Rattus norvegicus: one gene and its partners. The main gene of each other region encodes a partner of the protein of the gene in region 4 in a complex. Links are inferred from orthologs where the notes say so. Each region holds a gene or a part of one and is shown on either strand. Other genes may lie near its edges. The genes, in order: Cyba, Ncf2, Cybc1, Cybb and Rac2.

Region 1 (2,806 bases), on a different chromosome or scaffold from region 4:
TGTGTATATATATACATGTGTATATATATATATATGTTGTGTATATGTATATATATATACACACACACACATATATTTAGTCTGAGTAAAACTTACTGCAAACTTCTAGAATAGAAAGAAAAAATTTTTTTTAATTTTTGCTTATTGTTTGAAATAGTATTGACCTGGAATCTGTGATTCTTCTAGCTTAGCCTCAGGGGTGTGGAGGTTGCAGACATGACCACACCTAGCTAAGAAAACAATACATTGGAAGAGCAGGCGGTTCTCTTAAACACTGAGCCATCTCTCCAGCTCTTTCGTAACCGACATCTTCAGATGCTCCTTACGCCAGGTGCATCACGGTCTTCCGAAGCCTACAACAGACTCCTAGCTTTTATTTATCCGTTTGTTTTGAGACAGGGTTTCAGGTTGGTCTCAGGTTCACTCTGTAGCAGAAGATGACTTTGAATTCCTGGTCCTCTCACAGCCATCTCCCAAGTACTAGGATTTCAGGGACTCGTGTATCCCAGCCTGTCCTGGCGCGTACTATGTAAGGGAGGCTGGCCTTGAACTCATGTCTTCCTGCCTCCACCTTCCAAGTGTTGAGGTTACCTACCAGTCCACCATGTCCAGTTTATGCAGTCCTGGGGGTTGCATTGAGAGCTTCGTGCACGCTAGGTAAGCACCCCACCAACCTAGCCACTTCTCTAGCCTTCACTGGTTCGTTTGAGCCACAATCACTTGTAGCCCAGGCTGTTCTCAAACTCATGGGGTTAGCCTTGAACTCTGACCATCTTGCCTCTACCTCCCCAGTACTCCGATTATAGTTGTTCACCACGGTGCTAAGATAGTAAGCCTATGGAGGTCAAAGGGCAACTTACGGAGTCGTTCTCTCCTGATGGATCCCGTCGGGATGAACTCGGGTCTTCGGGCTTGGTGGTGGCAAGTGCCTTTCCTCGCTCCCTCATCTTGCCAATTCCACAAAATACCTTCCATGCACTCTTACGATTGGTCAAGGAAAGTGTAAAGGCACAATCACATTACTTTACCCATCGCCCTAGATCAGAAGCCCTCAAAATCCCAAAGACGGGAGAAGCACATCAGTAAATCGTGGTTGATTTCATATACTAGAACACGAGATCGATTTTTAAAAGTTAGTTAAGAAGCAGGGTGTGGTGGTCCCTGCCTGCAACCCAAGCACACGGGGGAGGGAGACCAGGAGTTCCAGACCATCCGGTATCGACAGCAAAACCAGCATGAGCCACTGGTGATTTACAGAGCGCATCACTTCAACGTCATCTGAGCCAAAGACACAGATACAAGAAAGAACTTCCTGAAATGAGGGAAGTTGTGAGTTGTGTGGTCCCATGGGGGAACCAAGCCTAACTCGTGTGTATTCTACTGTAAGGAAGTCTTGGATGGGCTGGCCGAGACATTAGTGGGGGTGAGGGTAGCTCGATACTGCAGGAATGTGCCCCTCCCCCTCCCCTCCCCCCGTCCCCCTCCCCACCGCCCCCAAACAGGGTTTCTCTGTTGTTCTGTCTATCCTAGAAGTTCCTCTGTAGACCAGGCTGGCCTCCAACTCACAGAGACCTGCCTGCCTCTGCCTCCTGAGTGCTGGGACTGAAGGTGTGTGCCACCAGCGCCCAGCTATTACCCACCTCCCACCCCCTACCCCCGACGGGGATGGAACTCAGTATGTACTACGTACAGAAGGACCAGGAAGTAACAGCGTAGCTGAGAAGAGTTGACATTCCAACCCGAGTGTAGCACCAACAGCTAATGGAGTCCCGCTTGCTGTGGCCACCTCCCCGAGTGTCCTCTCTGTCCCTGAACCCCATGCCGTACAGTGCCCTGCTCCAGTAGGCAGAGAGTTGGAGGTGGTCCCAAGTCCAGGGGCAAGGTCAAGCTGGCTCACTCCTGCAGCAGGTGGTGAGTCCTAACCACCACCCTCCATCTTTAGTCCTCATCACAGGGGGCATCGTGGCTACTGCGGGACGCTTCACGCAGTGGTACTTTGGTGCTTACTCTATGTATCCTTCTACTGGGGGCCAGGAGGGTGAGGTGATGAGAGCGCTTCCAGGACTAGTGTGTGAATTTACAAGAGCACTACACATAAGCTGTTCCGCCACAGCCTCCGGAAGCAGGGCCAGCCCTGTCTGCAGTTTTAGAAGCCATGGCCCAGGGCTGGACAGCCACTTCCAAAGGTCACAGAGGGTGGGGTTTGGGCAAACATGGAGCTGAGGCCCAAGATCCCAAGGTTTGGACTGGAGTACATCGCCTCCGCCCCACCTTGCTGGACAGTGCCTGAGAACTGAACGGGGTGGAGGGTAGGTATGGGGCAGGAGCTGTGCCTCGACTTACCTGTAGGCAGTAGTACACCCTGGCCTAGGCCTAGCGTGGCTTTCCTTAACCTCACCTCAGTGTTGCAGGAGTGCTCATCTGTCTGCTGGAGTACCCCCGGGGAAAGAGGAAAAAGGGCTCCACCATGGAGCGGTGGTAAGTCACTCCTACCTGGGGACCTGCCCCCACAGAGCCAACTGACTTGTCCAGAGCTTCCAGCCCAAGGCCTCATGTGCCCAGGAGGAAAAGGACCTAGAACCCTGGAAGGGGGCGGATAAGGAGTGACCAGGGATTCTGAGTGCGGTTGGTGCTGACCCTCTGATCTTTTGTCTTCCCGCTGTCTAGTGGACAGAAGTACCTGACCGCTGTGGTGAAGCTGTTCGGGCCCCTCACCAGAAATTACTACGTCCGGGCTGTCCTCCACTTACTGTGAGTCTCTCTGCCCATCCCCCGGGGAACAGGAGACTAGAAAAACACCTCATGG
Region 2 (4,229 bases), on a different chromosome or scaffold from region 4:
GCTGTGCCCTGATGACTTACAATGAGGTCAGACTTGCCTCCCCCTAACCCCCCCCCCCAGAAAAGCCTCTCGCATGATATTTCTTGCATAACTGCCCAGAAAGAGCAAGGCAGCCTTCCTACCCACAGAAGCTGGACGGTACTTATTGAATACCAAGTCTACCAGAACAAAGACCCAAAGGCCGCTGTCACACTCCGACACCACTTACTTCTCCATGCTGTAGTAGAGCATTCCTCGCTGGAAGTAAGCCACTGCCAAGTGCTTGTCTCTGTTGATGCTTTTGGTGAAGGCCTGCAGGGGGAAGGGTTACATGGCCACAGAGCCAGGCAGAGAGGAAGTGTAAGCATTGGCAGCAAGAGGCAAGATGTGTGTCATAATGATTCAGCAATGCAAGGTGACAAAATTGGCTTGGGGTATAGACATTTTGGGTCGAAATGCCCTGGGGTGTTATTTCCCCTTTGCATAGCCTGTGGTGAGTTACCTAATCTTCCTGAACCTCCCTGCTTTCCTCTGTAAAATAAGTGATGGGGACAGAGAGATGGCCCAGCAGATAAGAGTGCTTGCTGCTCCTCCAGAGGAAGAGTATAAAATTCCCAGCACCCACGTAGTGGCTTGCAACTATCTGCAGTCTAGTTCTAGAGGTTCTGATAGCCTCTTCTGCCCCCTTGAGAATCAGGTACACACATGGTCTCAAAACACCCACTCGCATTAAAATAATAATAATAATAATAGTGATATAGTTACAATGTATATTGTTTTTGTTTGATATAGATGTATTGTGTAACCATTTATAGCACTAAAATAATAAAACAAATAAGAATACATATATATAATATTATTTATATTGGATTAAACAGGAAAACAAGGGCAGAGGGGATAAGAGGTCTGGCAACAGAAAAATAGAAAGAAAGATCTTGACCAGTAAGGGTAGAAGCCAGTGATCTGAGGGTGTGAGGTGGCACAGCTTGGCCAAGAGTGCCAGGTCCAGGCCAGGGTGTGAGCACGCAGGGCCTATGTCAGAGCCTGGTCCTGGAGAGCTGCCTCCTTTTGTCCCCCAGCTCTGAGGATACAGCCCCATCCTGAGGGGAGGAGGTGGAGGAGGCAGTCCTCCCTCCAGGCAGAGGCTGGATGGGCCATACTCCCTGCCATATGCTTGCAGACCGTAGAGTCTAAGCATATCAAGTTACTTTCTCTCCTCCTGTCAGGGTGTGGGCAGTGTTTGTTCCCCTGCTGGCAAAAGGATGACCAGTGCGAACTGGTTCTTTGGAGGGGGCAGAGGCTGGGTAAATGGGTCAGTGGGTAAAATGCTGGCCTCGGAAGCTTGACAGCCTACAGAGTCCAGGTGGGAAAAAAACAAGCAGGTGTGGGGTCACATCCTTTCTAATCTAAGGCGGGGGACAGGTGGGGGTGGGGAGGACAGAGACAGGCTCTCTAACCAGCCAAGCCTAATGGGCAAGTTCTGGGCCAATAAGAGACTCTACCTAAAAGACAAAACAGCAGCAACAAGAAACAAAAACAAAAACAAAAACAAAACAGGGTGGACAGCTCCTGGCACTTGCTGTGCAATCCTGGAGGTTTGGGGTTGATCACTGGAACCCCGGTAAAAATAGACGGAACTCCACAAAGCTGTCCTTTGATTGACACATGTGTGCTGTGACATATGTAGCCACCTCTCTCTCTCTCATGCATACACACACACACACACACACACACACACACAATCAATCAATCAATCAATCAATCAATCAATCAATCAATCAATCAAGAGGCCTGGTGGGCATGTTGAACATCTTTGATACCAGCACTTCGGAGGCAGAGGCAGGCAGATCTCTGTGATTTTGTGAGTTCAAAGCCAACCTGATCTATAGATTGTGTCCTAGGATAACCAGGGCTCCTCAGAGAAACCCTGTCATAAAAAAAAAGGGGGTGGGGGGGGTTGGGGATTTAGCTCAGTGGTAGAGCGCTTGCCTAGCAAGCGCAAGGCCCTGGGTTCGGTCCCCAGCTCCGAAAAAAAAAGAAAAGAAAAAAAATCAAAATAAAATAAACAGAATTGGACATGTTCAACGCCAAACCAGAGAAAATGTATTTTAAAAACTTCAAAAGACATAGAAATACCTACCCCACACCCTTGGTGAACCTCATGACTTAATCACAGTGTGAGTTTCCTCAGCTAGCCTCAGAATCCTTACAGAAGTAACCTGCCTTGTTGATCAGAATTGTTCTTTGAGCAGGCCAAACTAATAGGATGGTAAGTCCCTAGAAGCCATAGAGGCATTTTAAAACTGGATGCCAGGGTAAGACAGAGAAAGCTTACCCAGGAGGCGCTGTCAAAGAGAGCACAGCTTAAGAAGTCTTCACAAAGGGTTAAAAGATGATCTTGGATAATGTAGAGATCTTGTAGAGCAGAGCCCCACCCTTGGGTGGCTCGGAAAAATCCTGCCCTGGGCGCTCTTAAAACTGCCTGCTCAGCCAGAGGCAGTTAGTTGGGGCCTCTGGGGTAGTTCTAGAAGGCTTTTGTTCCTTTAAGGCTTTGGAAGGTGAGGTTTCCAGAGGTCAGAAAGGCTATAATTACGGGCCCCTCGACTCACCTGCTCAGCCTCCTGCAGGTTGTCCAGGATGGTGTACATGCAGCCTATGTTGAAGCAAATCCTCGAGTGGGGGTCCTGCACCTCGCTGAAGGCCTCCAAGGCACCCTTCCAGTCCTTCTTGTCGGCTGCCTGCACCCCCTCATTCCAGAGCCTGATGGCCTCAGCTAGGGACATGGTTAGGTGCTTACTAGAAGACAGGATGGTAGTTCAAGGTGTCTCTCCTTAGAGCTACTGGCACCCCGGGCTTCAGCGTTCCAGCCTAGTGCACTGAATGGGGTCTAGCCTCCCTTTGGGCGGCTTCATAGCGTCAGGAAGTTTCCCCACCGTTCAGGAACTGACGCATAAGCTAGCATGAGAGAGAAAAGGAAAGAGAGAAGGCTGGAGGAGGCTGGCTAGGAAAGAGGAAGTACATCGGAGGCTGCCTGCCATGAGCCAGTCAGTTCCTCTAAGTGTTTTTGCTACGTCCTACTTGTCTCTGCCTCCCACACCCTCTGTGGCAGCTTCAGGTCAGGGGGACCTCAGCAGGTCTGGACATGCCCCTGTACTTGACTCTTTTCGTCCTTGGAAGACTTCCTTGCTCTCTGGTCCTCTCTCTCAGGTCTGGGTCTCAGGCTGTCGACACGCTTGTTTGTGGTCTGCGGATGTAACCCAGGCTCGTCTGAATTCCCAATTCCCATTCTGGAGTTATAGATGCACAACCAATAGACTAGCTGTTTTGTTTTTAAATCTGGAGGGGGGGGGTGAGGATCCATGCTACACATTCCTGAGACAGGGTGGGGCATCTTGAGTGTCCATTAGGGTCTGAGATAACTTTAAGGAAATACCCAGACTGGGAGGCAGACGTGACAGCCGTTATCATCTCTCCGTCTGTCTGTGAGAAGCTGAAGAGACGGCTCCTCGTATGACTAATGAGTTCACTAGTTTCTGTAAATACAGATTTCAGATTCCTTTACTTACTGCCCTGCTAACGTCTAAGTTAATTTAAAAACAAACCAACAAACAAACAAACAACAACAACCAAACTTTTCTGAGGAAAATCGAGGTAGGGTGTCTAAATGATGAAATCCGCTGAGGTCCGGACTCCTTGGTGGGTGAAACACAGTTCATGAGGGTCAGATGCATGAACGTTTCTAAGTCTTGTCTTGAGGCACCTGAAAGAACTCAGCACAGGGTTCGTAAAGGCAGGAGGGCTAAGAAGAAGAAGGCGCCGTTGCATAGCCTCGCCCCTGTCTCTGGCAGCCCTTCCTATCTCGCTTCTTTGCCTGGTCATCTCCTCAAGCTTCCAGGCTCACCCATCCAGTCTCCTTCCTGTGTCCATACCTGTGCGACAGCCCGCTCCACACTCTAGATTACCGAGGGAGTATTGTCCCTTTGTCTTACCTCCTCCTAAATAACGACCGTGTTTCCTCTCTACCTGCTTAGTTCTTAGGTCCCTTGAAATTTGGGACACTGCCCTTTATTCTCAGACCCTTGGCACTGGCTCTTAAGGAATGATGGAAGGAGTCAGAGTCTGGCCTGGTGACAGAGGCCTGCCACTCTGGCCATTTAAGAAGCTGAGACAAGGGCTGGAGAGATGGCTCAGCGGTTAAGAGCACCCGACTGCTCTTCCAGAGGTCATGAGTTCAATTCCCAGCAACCACA
Region 3 (2,180 bases), on a different chromosome or scaffold from region 4:
CAATGGCTTCCACGTCACTAGGCAATCATCAAGAAAGCAGGTCACCTTGGCAAAGGGTGCAGTTCCACAACACACCACAAAAGACCCACGCTATCTCATCCCCTGCAGTACACCTACATCACCCCCCCCCCCCCGTGGTCTCAAATGAGCCCAGTATCTCTGGCCTCAGTCCTACTCTCACTGAAGCCCCAACCCTGTTCTGATGCCTCCTCTACAGACAGCTGCAGCAAAGCTGCTCCTAAGCACATACATCCTGATCAGAGCCCCACACCCTGTCTACAACACTGAGAAACACTAAGGGATAGCCCAGTCTTGCTTTATGCCAATCTTACCTGCGTCGGCCCATGACTGCACTCTGAGTAAGGGGGTGGGAGAAGCCTGTTGCAAACCGGAGCACCACCATGTAGCCCTTCCCAAAGTAACGGACCTTTTCCTCCTCCACATTCACATCCTGGATGTCTTTCAACAGGACCACCACTGGGGACAGAAGGGTTTGCTGATGAGCAGTCTCCCTATGCTCTTATCCAATGCTCTCAACCTATGCCACGCACAGCACAGCCTGCTGAACAGTGGGAGTAGCATTAGTGACAAAAGCATTTACTAGTTCACCTTCAGGACTGTGGACCCAGACTAACTTCTGGATAAGGATACTCAGGAGACCCATTACAGCTGCAGTTTCAGGCAGACACTGGCTTTCCTGAGCAGTCCCACAACAGGGATCACTAAGCTCAAGTTGCTATCTTCATGAAACCTGTCTGGTTCCAGTGGGGTAGCCCCGCTAGTTAGTTCTGTGCACAGAGAAACCATCGCTTAACTAATACATGGCTGATACTGCTTTCCCAAGAGCCCCTGGGAAACCTATCTCATCTCACTGTCACAGTGACAAGGGGGATGACCATGTGGCTTGGAGCCCGTGGGTACTGGCTCTCAAATGTGCAAGGGCTTCCAACAAGCAGCCTACGGGGAAGTTCAAACAGTGCACTAACTCACACCCACAAACCAGCTCTGGTCTTCATCTGCGCCACATTCAGCTATACACTGCCAGCGCTCGATATGAGTTAAGAGGCCTGGATGCTTTGGGGTCTAACTTTTCATGTTAAAAGCACATAGAGTTTACTTGCATATTTTTAATGAGCAGTAGCTGAGCTGGATACATAATGGGGGAGACCTATGAGAACCTGCTACTTCATAACTAGGCTACCTTCCAAGCCCATAAGCTCAAGGGTTGCGGGGTTCCTTTAACCATTTTCTCACTGCAGGGCTGGCAGAGCTGACAATCAGGTACAGGATAATCAAGAAAGGCCAAGTGGTTCCTGAAGACTCTTCTCCTGTCACCCTCGCCCAACCTAGGAGAGCTGCCAAGGAGTGTCCATCCTTCCTGACAGGCTGAGTTCTGAAGTAGGCAAAACACCTGTCTGGATCTGTCCCGGCAAGCCAGGATATGTCCGCGGGACCCTCATTCCTCGAGCAGTTGAACTTGGATCCAAGCCATCCAGGCCTCACCAAACCTTCACCAACCTGTAGGTTCCCACATCTTACCTTGATCATGGCCCGCTCTGAGAAGAGTCAGCAGCTTCTTGTAGAGGCTGAATGTTTTTAAGATGACCTTCCCAGTGCTCTTGTTGAAAATGGCCTCCTGCAAACGAATGCATGCTAACCACACACAGAACTCTAGGTAGAGAGCCAAGCTGATGCTGAGGTACAGCCCCACCACACTGGTACAAATACAAAGCTTTCCCAGTAGAAACCCAAAGCCTCCAGGACTCTTCCAGAGCCTACTTCTGTGCCTGACATCTGGTACTCCCCTGTGAGTAAGGGGCACACGAAAGAAAGCAGATACAGTGGATGTCCTTTTCTCTTTGAGTGAGAACAGGACCAGGCTGGGGAATCTAGCCCAGTGGTAGAGCACTTGCCCAGCAGGTATGAGGCCCCAGGTTCAATCCTCAGTACTGGGTAAATAAAAGAATAAAAGGAAAGGATGGTAATGAGGCCATTAAGCAAATGCAGAAGCCCCAGTCAGGAAGCTTCATGAATTCTGACAAGTTCAAGACTAAGGGAAGGGGGCTTCCCCAAAAGGTACCACCTGACTTAACAGGTTCAGATTTCTGTCAGCTATTATAGGTGTATAGTGAGGACCAAGCCCTCAACCCCTGAACCTCAAAGCCTAGGAGCTAGTCTGA
Region 4 (3,520 bases):
AAGAGTCTTGATTTTTCTAGTTAATGTGGGGACTAAACTGGAAGCAGTGGGATTAGTAAAGTGGGGAGGGGAAGACAAGCTTTCTCCCTTGAAGGATTCTCTGAGATAGCTGAATTGTGAGCAAGTTCCAGGGAAAGGCACTCGGTTGCTTTAGGAGACTCAGCAGATCCTCCACTCCTACAGACCTCTCAGTGCTTAGAAAGAGTTTCACAGTGGTGCAAATCAGGAAGTAGGTGAAGAATGCACACAGAAGTTGGCCACAGTTGTTTTTCTTCTATCCTTCCTCTTTTCACTCTCAAGACTTGGTCACCCCTAGTTTACTTGAATTGAGCTTTGCATATTCTCTTTCCCTCCCCCTGTGTTCCTGGAACTCTATACCCATTATGGAATGTTCCTGGCCTTGGCTTTTATGTGCAGGTGGTGCGAAAGAGTAGAAAAAATGAAACTTGATATTAAAGCAGTTTTTCCAAGCATAAAGTCAAGCACTGTGTGTCCTTATGAGAGTTTTCACCGCAGCCCACTCAAAACCACCTGTTCTCTAGGCTACTCACCAGCCTGGAGTGGCTTGGCCCACATTTTACCATTTTTACCTTTGGGTTCCACATCTACACATGAGATGGTTAAAAGAAACATTGAATATCAAGTTCTTAGTGCTGAACATAGAGTTTGGTGGAAGTTAATTAGTTTTTATCATATTTGAAATTTTGAAGGTAATGCCCATGTATTTTTCTAGCTAGCATTCCTCCCTAATTCCTGAGGTAGATTCTCATACCCAGTAGGAAACCAGTAGTGATTCAGCTACTGCTGAAACTGCTTCAGCTGATTAATCACTAATTCCTCTACCTTGGGATTTTGCCTAACCTACTCATGATTTATCTGTAGGAAGCATTGAGGTGGTCATCCAAGACCAAACCAATGATTTCAGTAAAGTATGGCCATGCAGAGAGTAGACTACCTTTCTTCTCTTTAGGCAAGAATATAGTGGGCAATCTACACAAATAATGGCCTTGAGACAAACCATAGTCAGTGTATTTTATACACGAGGTATATATTTCAAGCTTATTTTAAATCACCCATTATGAATTGCATGGGTACAATAAGAAAGCAAAAACCATTGCTGGGGTTTTTTGGGGGGAGGTTGTCTTTTTTTTTTTTTTTGACTGACCTCAACTGTTCTCTCCTGTGCCTTTCCTTGGTCAAAACATCTAGAAAGTGAAACCAAAGTATTTGGCAATGGAGTTAGAGAACTCACTCAGCTCCATGGATGGCAAGGCCGATGAAGAAGATCACAAAGAGATGGTGTGTATACCAGAACACTTCAAAGTAAGACCTCCGAATGGTTTTGGTGGAGGATGTGATGATCAATATAAGACACAGTGTGATGACAATTCCTGTGATGCCAGCCAACCGAGTCACAGCCACATACAGGCCCCCTTCAGGGTTCTGGAAAATAGAAACACACAAGCTCAGAACTGTAAGAGTATCCATTTTAAAGCTGTTTATATAAGGCATTTCCAGTCCCTTTGGTTATTATAATTATATCTCTCAGTGTTGAGATTTCCAAATTTAAATTGTCTTACATTATTGGGGAGTCACAGATAAAGAACAACATTCAGATGATTCTAGTGGAGTTTGACTTAGTAAAAGGTGTCTTCAAAATGTCTCATGCTCTCTCTCTCTTTGACTTGGAAAGGCTACAGTACATAGTTAGCCAATGAATTCTTACTACACCTTCCACTGGAGGCTGGCTTCACTATGTGTAGATGCTTAGATGAGAGTTTGGGGGTAAAGTTGACCTTATAGATGGTCTTTCACTATGTCTACTTTCAGGTAACAGAAAAAACATGGTAAAAATGTGTAGAACCAGAGAATAGGTGCTCTAGAGCAGACTGGGATGCACAGAGTTGCACAGGGTCAGGGCGAAGATATCCCTGCCCCCAGGCCCCGTGAGACTGGCCCCCACCTTTATTGTCTCCAATCTCGGAGAATTCTATTGAACAAAGATGAGAAAACGTCATATACTCAGGCATACACAAACCAATCTGAGAGTTTGTACTCATAATTTGTACTGACTAAAGGAAAGGGAGCTGGATGCCAACACCGACACTCATTGGTTATTTGACGAAGGCTTCTCAGGGAGCAGTAATTGTCCAGATGCTTTCAGATCACATCCTTACACAAAGAGAAACTTCAAGTCTCAAGGCAGTCCTTAGAAGAGGAGGGGGCTTTAGTGATTGAAAAGGAAAACATTCTGGAGGAAACACAAAGCCAGTAAAAGTGACCCAAGGAAATCTGGACAGATCATGACAGTGTTTGTTCAACTAATATGTTCAATATAACTCATTGAGAAAACAATGAGCAATGGAAAGAAAAATCATCCATGATATAACAGAAAAAAAGGATGAGTCATGCCAGCTTCTGTCATGTCAGTTTGAATGTAAAATTTGGGGCAAAATTAAAGTTCTTTGTTTTGTAGCTGTTTTTGTAAACATGGAAAATGTGTTTGAAATTCAACTGGGGAAGTTGACTGTCTCCCTAAGCCACTGGGTTCATAAAAATGGCATAAGCTCCTTTCTGAATATAAGAACCGGGGGGTAGGAGATATTTTTTACATTTATATTCTAAATTACTAGCAAACTTTCTTTGTTGGTTTTTATGGAGAAATTATTGGTTTTTTTTCATTCAGTAAAATGAAGTCCTCTGTTCTAACAGCCCGGCAAACAACTGAATCAGAGAAGGGAGGCTCACCTTGATTTTTTCTCTAGCAAAATTGAGATACTCTTCATTTTCTTTGTCTCCAATGTTAGAGAGTGCTACTGAATATGGGTCCGAAGTCCCGACTCTGGCATTCACACACCACTCCACGTTGAACAGATGTGCAATGGTGTGAATGGCTGAAGAGGGCAGGGAAAAGACACAATGAGGGGAGAAGGAAGTACCACATCAGTTCTGCCTATAGCCTCTAACTCTCAAGAGAACCAAAGGGATGAGGCCTAGGATTCAGTAAAGACACTGGGTCCCAATAACCACAGAAGTAAGGCAAGCCTAGTAGGTCAGCTTCGTTCTGCCTGTGCTACTGTGGAAAAACCATACAGCCTTTCTGGTATTGGTTCCCTTATTTGTGAAATGAAGGGGTTGAACTAATGTTTCCAAAGAGCCAGCCAACCAATTTTTAAGAGTATACATTTGATAGATTCACAGCTTCTCTTCTTCCCTCATGTGTTTGTGCTCAAATGAGAAAAGCACCCATGTAATGTCTGCTTCATCATCTCCAGAGAGTAGTGGTGGGCATAATTGAATTAATACAAACTTACGACCATCAATCAGCATGAGTCTCTTAAGTTAAAAAGAAATTGCTCGCCTAACTGGGCTGCCTTGTCTGGCCTCAGCAAGAAAGATGTGCCTAGTCCTACAGATACTGATGTGCCAGGGTGAGGGAATACCTAGTGGGAGGCCTCCCCCTTCTCAGATGAAAAGGAAGTAGGGGAGGAGCTGCAGGAGGGGTGACTGGGACTCAGTC
Region 5 (2,937 bases), on a different chromosome or scaffold from region 4:
ACTGTCGGCGGTAGTGGTAGAAAGGACACTTACCATGACCTCTGACTGTCGAGGTTAGAGATCCCTATTAGACCCCCTCAAGAATTTACCCACACTCACTCACTCACTCACCCTATATCCACGCTTCCTGGTGTCACCTCTACTAATGGCTCTAACCCAACTCATGGTCAGTCACAGCACAGTGTCTCTCTCTCTCTCTCTCTCTCTCTCTCTCTCTCTCTCAATCACACACACACACACACACACACACACACACACACACACAAACACACCGGTGTGATTGAGGGTGGGCCTAAGACAAGCTGGTCCAATCAGAGTAGCCCTTCCTTAGAACTTGCCCAGGGCAGACTTCACCTGAACTTGACCTCAGAGGATCAAGTCCCAAGAATCAACAGCCAGAAAGTGAGCCTAGCAGGCAGAACCAAAATGGACGGGAAGGCAAGGTCCGTGGTATGGTCTGAACCCTCTGCCCCACCTTGATCAAGCTGCGCCTGAACTCATAGCACGTCCACCGAGAATCAACACATTTATTTTCTGCATAAGCAAGAGACTTGTGTTTTCCATTTGCTATGGCAGGTGGGGTGGGCAGTGCCAAGAGGGTGCAGCCCCACCCTTCGAGTAGCATAGGAAGCCTTGAGAGACTGTAGGGGTCAGCTGAGCTCAGACCCTCACTTGGCTGGGCAGATCAGAGATTTACCAAAATAGATTGGTTCTGTGTTTTTCTGACAAAGGAAGACAGAGGAGCAGACTTCCACATCTCTCCCTTTGGTTCAGGGAAGGAGGTGTTCCAACAAGGCGAACACCGTGGTGACAGGCCACAGAGACCGGAAGCTTCGAGAGAGGCGTCAGAAAGGCCTGGAGCAGGTGGGTGCATGATGCTGTATGACATGAGGATGGATGGCTGAGTCTTGGGGCTCCCCTCTGGTCCCTGGGAACACAGGAATCTTCCGGGTAGGATGTGACCTATCAACATCACCCCATACCCTGGGACCTCCATGGAGGAGAGAGGCAAGTTCTGCAGATGACTGTGAAGAAACACCACACACAGGGGACAGCATGTCCCACCAGTATATCGCTGGGCTTTGGTGGGGAGCCCTGGAGGGTCAGGACCGTGGGAGTGGGAAGACTGGGAAGACACCTGGAAGGGAGACAGGAAAGGGTCAGTGTCGAGGACAGACACATCCCAGCTCAGGGCCATTCAGGCCCATGGCTGCTTTCAATGGCTGTCTCCCCCAGAGCTCTCTTCCTCTCCTCCCCACGCACCCCCGCATATCCCACCCAGGGTATTCTTGGGGTTCCCCAGTGTCATTAGATTTTTGTGACAAGGACAGGCTAAATGAGAGGCAGGAAACTCCTGTGTCCTGGTTTAAGTCACTGGACAGGTTCTGGCTTGCTTGGGTTGAATCCGGAAAGGAAGAGCTTCACAGGCAGTGACAAAGAGGGGAGACTGAGGCTACCTAGGTACCCATGGCCCTCTGTCCTGGTCTAACACTCAGTGACCTGAGGGCTGGCCCTAGGGTAGGGTACCCTTCCAGCAGTGGAGAGCTGTATACCCCTAGAGCAGGCTGCAGGGGCGTTTCTGCTGCCGTGTGGGCTGTGGGCACAGGACTGCTCGGATTGCCTCATCGAAGACGGTCTTCAGGCCTCGCTGGGTGAGTGCAGAACATTCCAAGTACTTCACTGAATCTGAGGAGGGACAGCGGGAGAGCAGGGGCCTGAGTCATGGAGAGGCTGTGTCTACCCGAGTGGGGAGTTATCACCTGAGTGCGGAGTATCACCCAAGGGAGTATCCCTTGAATGTGAGTATCATCTGAGTGGGGAGTATCACCCAAGAGGCAATATGCCTCTCTGTACTTCATCTCCCTCCTATAGGACTCAGTGGGAATAGTGAAAGACCCCCACAGACACAAAGGTTTGGAAGGTGGATAGGACCTGCTTCCATGACAAGAACCAAATCCCTCACGGCCTTCCTTATGAAGCTGACACCTCTGAGCAGGTCTGAGGACACCCTAATACATATATCAATTATGGGCAAACCCAATTTATGGGCAAACCAGGGCTAACAGAGACTGTGGGACCTGCCTGCCCCAGGGCAGCTCAGTGAAGGGAAGAAATTATTGAGGTCTTCTGTGCAGTCCCGAGGACAGGCCCCTGGAGGCATCTGCATGACTACCCACCCCCTCCAACCTGAGCCCAGGGCCCTGACACAGAGGCTGGGAGACACAGAGTCCTGGGGAAGGAAAGGGGAAGGAAGGGAGCCCGGTGCCATCCCTGACTCCTTCTGCTCTCCTTTCTGAGTTAGGAGCTTCTGACAGCTGAGGAACTGGCGGCCCTCCCCACCTCACTGGGCCCAGAGCAGAGCAGCCACAGGCCCAAAGGTGCAGAACTGCAATGAGGGGTCACCCCTGGAGGGGAGCCACTGAAGCCAAGGCTTGGGAGACAGCAAGGAGGGAACGGAGCTCTGGGAGCCAGACACTGTGCAGCCACTGCAGGGTGTTTCTTGTTTCTGGAAAGTTCTCATGGCTCGCTATTCCCACTGAGAAGATGAAGCCAGGGTCCTTCCCTGGTGTCCAGCTGCTTATTCCAGAGATGGCTCTAGGTAGGGGCTTAAGGCCTCTGTCCCTCGGGGTTCCCCATCCTTGTGGTGACCAGTGGTGAGGCACTCTGAACCTGGGGTCCTAGGCTTATCCTCTCAGAAGCTGGAAAGGAGGGGATTTCTGTTCCCCACAGAGGATGAAATAGCCTCAGGGAGAAATGTCACAGGCTGAAGAACACACACTCTCTCTCCCTCCCCCCTTCTTTCTCTCTCTCTCTCTCCCCCCGACATACCACACACACACACACACACACACACACACACACACACACACACACACACACAGTCTAAGACCCAGATCAGAGGAGCTCACAGGCAATCGATGATGCAGGAAGGAATGG

Evidence for each region.
Region 1: the proteins of Cybb (region 4) and Cyba are in contact, whole or in part, in a cryo-EM structure (PDB 8X2L), measured with the Homo sapiens proteins. The link is inferred for Rattus norvegicus from reciprocal best matches to the Homo sapiens genes CYBB and CYBA. Residues at the interface, in NP_000388.2 of Homo sapiens: Thr116, Ile117, Leu120, Phe121, Val123, Glu124, Asn128, Asn133, Lys161, Asn162, Pro163, Gly166, Leu167, Ala170, Val180, Thr183, Leu184, Ile187, Leu188, Thr191, Ser192, Thr194, Lys195, Thr196, Ile197, Arg199, Ser200, Tyr201, Glu203, Val204; in NP_000092.2 of Homo sapiens: Gln3, Ile4, Glu5, Trp6, Met8, Trp9, Glu12, Gln13, Ala16, Ile20, Thr23, Val27, Gly31, Phe33, Thr34, Gln35, Arg56, Arg59, Met65, Gly102, Phe103, Leu104, Leu105, Ala106, Ile108, Leu109, Ala112, Cys113, Ile116.
Region 2: Cybb (region 4) and Ncf2 share a complex: the UniProt entries of both Homo sapiens proteins name them as parts of the phagocyte NADPH oxidase complex. The link is inferred for Rattus norvegicus from reciprocal best matches to the Homo sapiens genes CYBB and NCF2.
Region 3: the proteins of Cybb (region 4) and Cybc1 are in contact, whole or in part, in a cryo-EM structure (PDB 8KEI), measured with the Homo sapiens proteins. The link is inferred for Rattus norvegicus from reciprocal best matches to the Homo sapiens genes CYBB and CYBC1. Residues at the interface, in NP_000388.2 of Homo sapiens: Trp28, Asn74, Leu75, Leu76, Ser77, Phe78, Leu79, Arg80, Gly81, Ser82, Ser83, Ala84, Cys85, Cys86, Trp206, His210, Phe212, Pro266, Met268, Trp270, Lys271, Ile273, Tyr280, Tyr324, Phe326, Lys328, Leu335, Glu336, Trp337, His338; in NP_001028218.1 of Homo sapiens: Arg22, Leu26, Ala37, Ser41, Gly42, Asp43, Trp47, Phe50, Tyr51, Phe57, Gln61, Asn62, Glu64, Lys77, His97, Asp98, Gln99, Val100, Val101, Val102, Leu103, Arg108, Ser111, Glu115, Val117, Arg118, Tyr119, Phe120, Arg129, Ala131.
Region 5: Cybb (region 4) and Rac2 share a complex: the UniProt entries of both Homo sapiens proteins name them as parts of the phagocyte NADPH oxidase complex. The link is inferred for Rattus norvegicus from reciprocal best matches to the Homo sapiens genes CYBB and RAC2.

What each region holds. Positions count from the first base shown.
Region 1 is NC_086037.1:67,398,415-67,401,220, reverse strand, and holds part of Cyba (cytochrome b-245 light chain), read left to right. Parts: intron 1-1,942; coding exon 1,943-2,012; intron 2,013-2,403; coding exon 2,404-2,478; intron 2,479-2,667; coding exon 2,668-2,751; intron 2,752-2,806. UniProt on the Homo sapiens protein: Subunit of NADPH oxidase complexes that is required for the NADPH oxidase activity that generates, in various cell types, superoxide from molecular oxygen utilizing NADPH as an electron donor.
Region 2 is NC_086031.1:67,504,071-67,508,299, reverse strand, and holds the start of Ncf2 (neutrophil cytosol factor 2), read right to left. Parts: upstream 2,809-4,229; 5' UTR 2,763-2,808; coding exon 2,589-2,762; intron 292-2,588; coding exon 209-291; intron 1-208. UniProt on the Homo sapiens protein: Subunit of the phagocyte NADPH oxidase complex that mediates the transfer of electrons from cytosolic NADPH to O2 to produce the superoxide anion (O2(-)).
Region 3 is NC_086028.1:106,998,678-107,000,857, forward strand, and holds part of Cybc1 (cytochrome b-245 chaperone 1), read right to left. Parts: exon of another isoform or gene 1,637-2,180; coding exon 1,540-1,636; exon of another isoform or gene 478-1,539; coding exon 333-477; exon of another isoform or gene 18-332; coding exon 1-17. UniProt on the Homo sapiens protein: Functions as a chaperone necessary for a stable expression of the CYBA and CYBB subunits of the cytochrome b-245 heterodimer. Controls the phagocyte respiratory burst and is essential for innate immunity.
Region 4 is NC_086039.1:16,048,054-16,051,573, forward strand, and holds part of Cybb (cytochrome b-245 beta chain), read right to left. Parts: intron 2,895-3,520; coding exon 2,749-2,894; intron 1,444-2,748; coding exon 1,253-1,443; intron 1-1,252. UniProt on the Homo sapiens protein: Catalytic subunit of the phagocyte NADPH oxidase complex that mediates the transfer of electrons from cytosolic NADPH to O2 to produce the superoxide anion (O2(-)).
Region 5 is NC_086025.1:111,996,231-111,999,167, forward strand, and holds the end of Rac2 (ras-related C3 botulinum toxin substrate 2), read right to left. Parts: exon of another isoform or gene 2,739-2,937; intron 1,687-2,738; coding exon 1,556-1,686; 3' UTR 1,554-1,555; exon of another isoform or gene 1,528-1,553; intron 1,139-1,527; 3' UTR 514-1,138; downstream 1-513. UniProt on the Homo sapiens protein: Plasma membrane-associated small GTPase which cycles between an active GTP-bound and inactive GDP-bound state.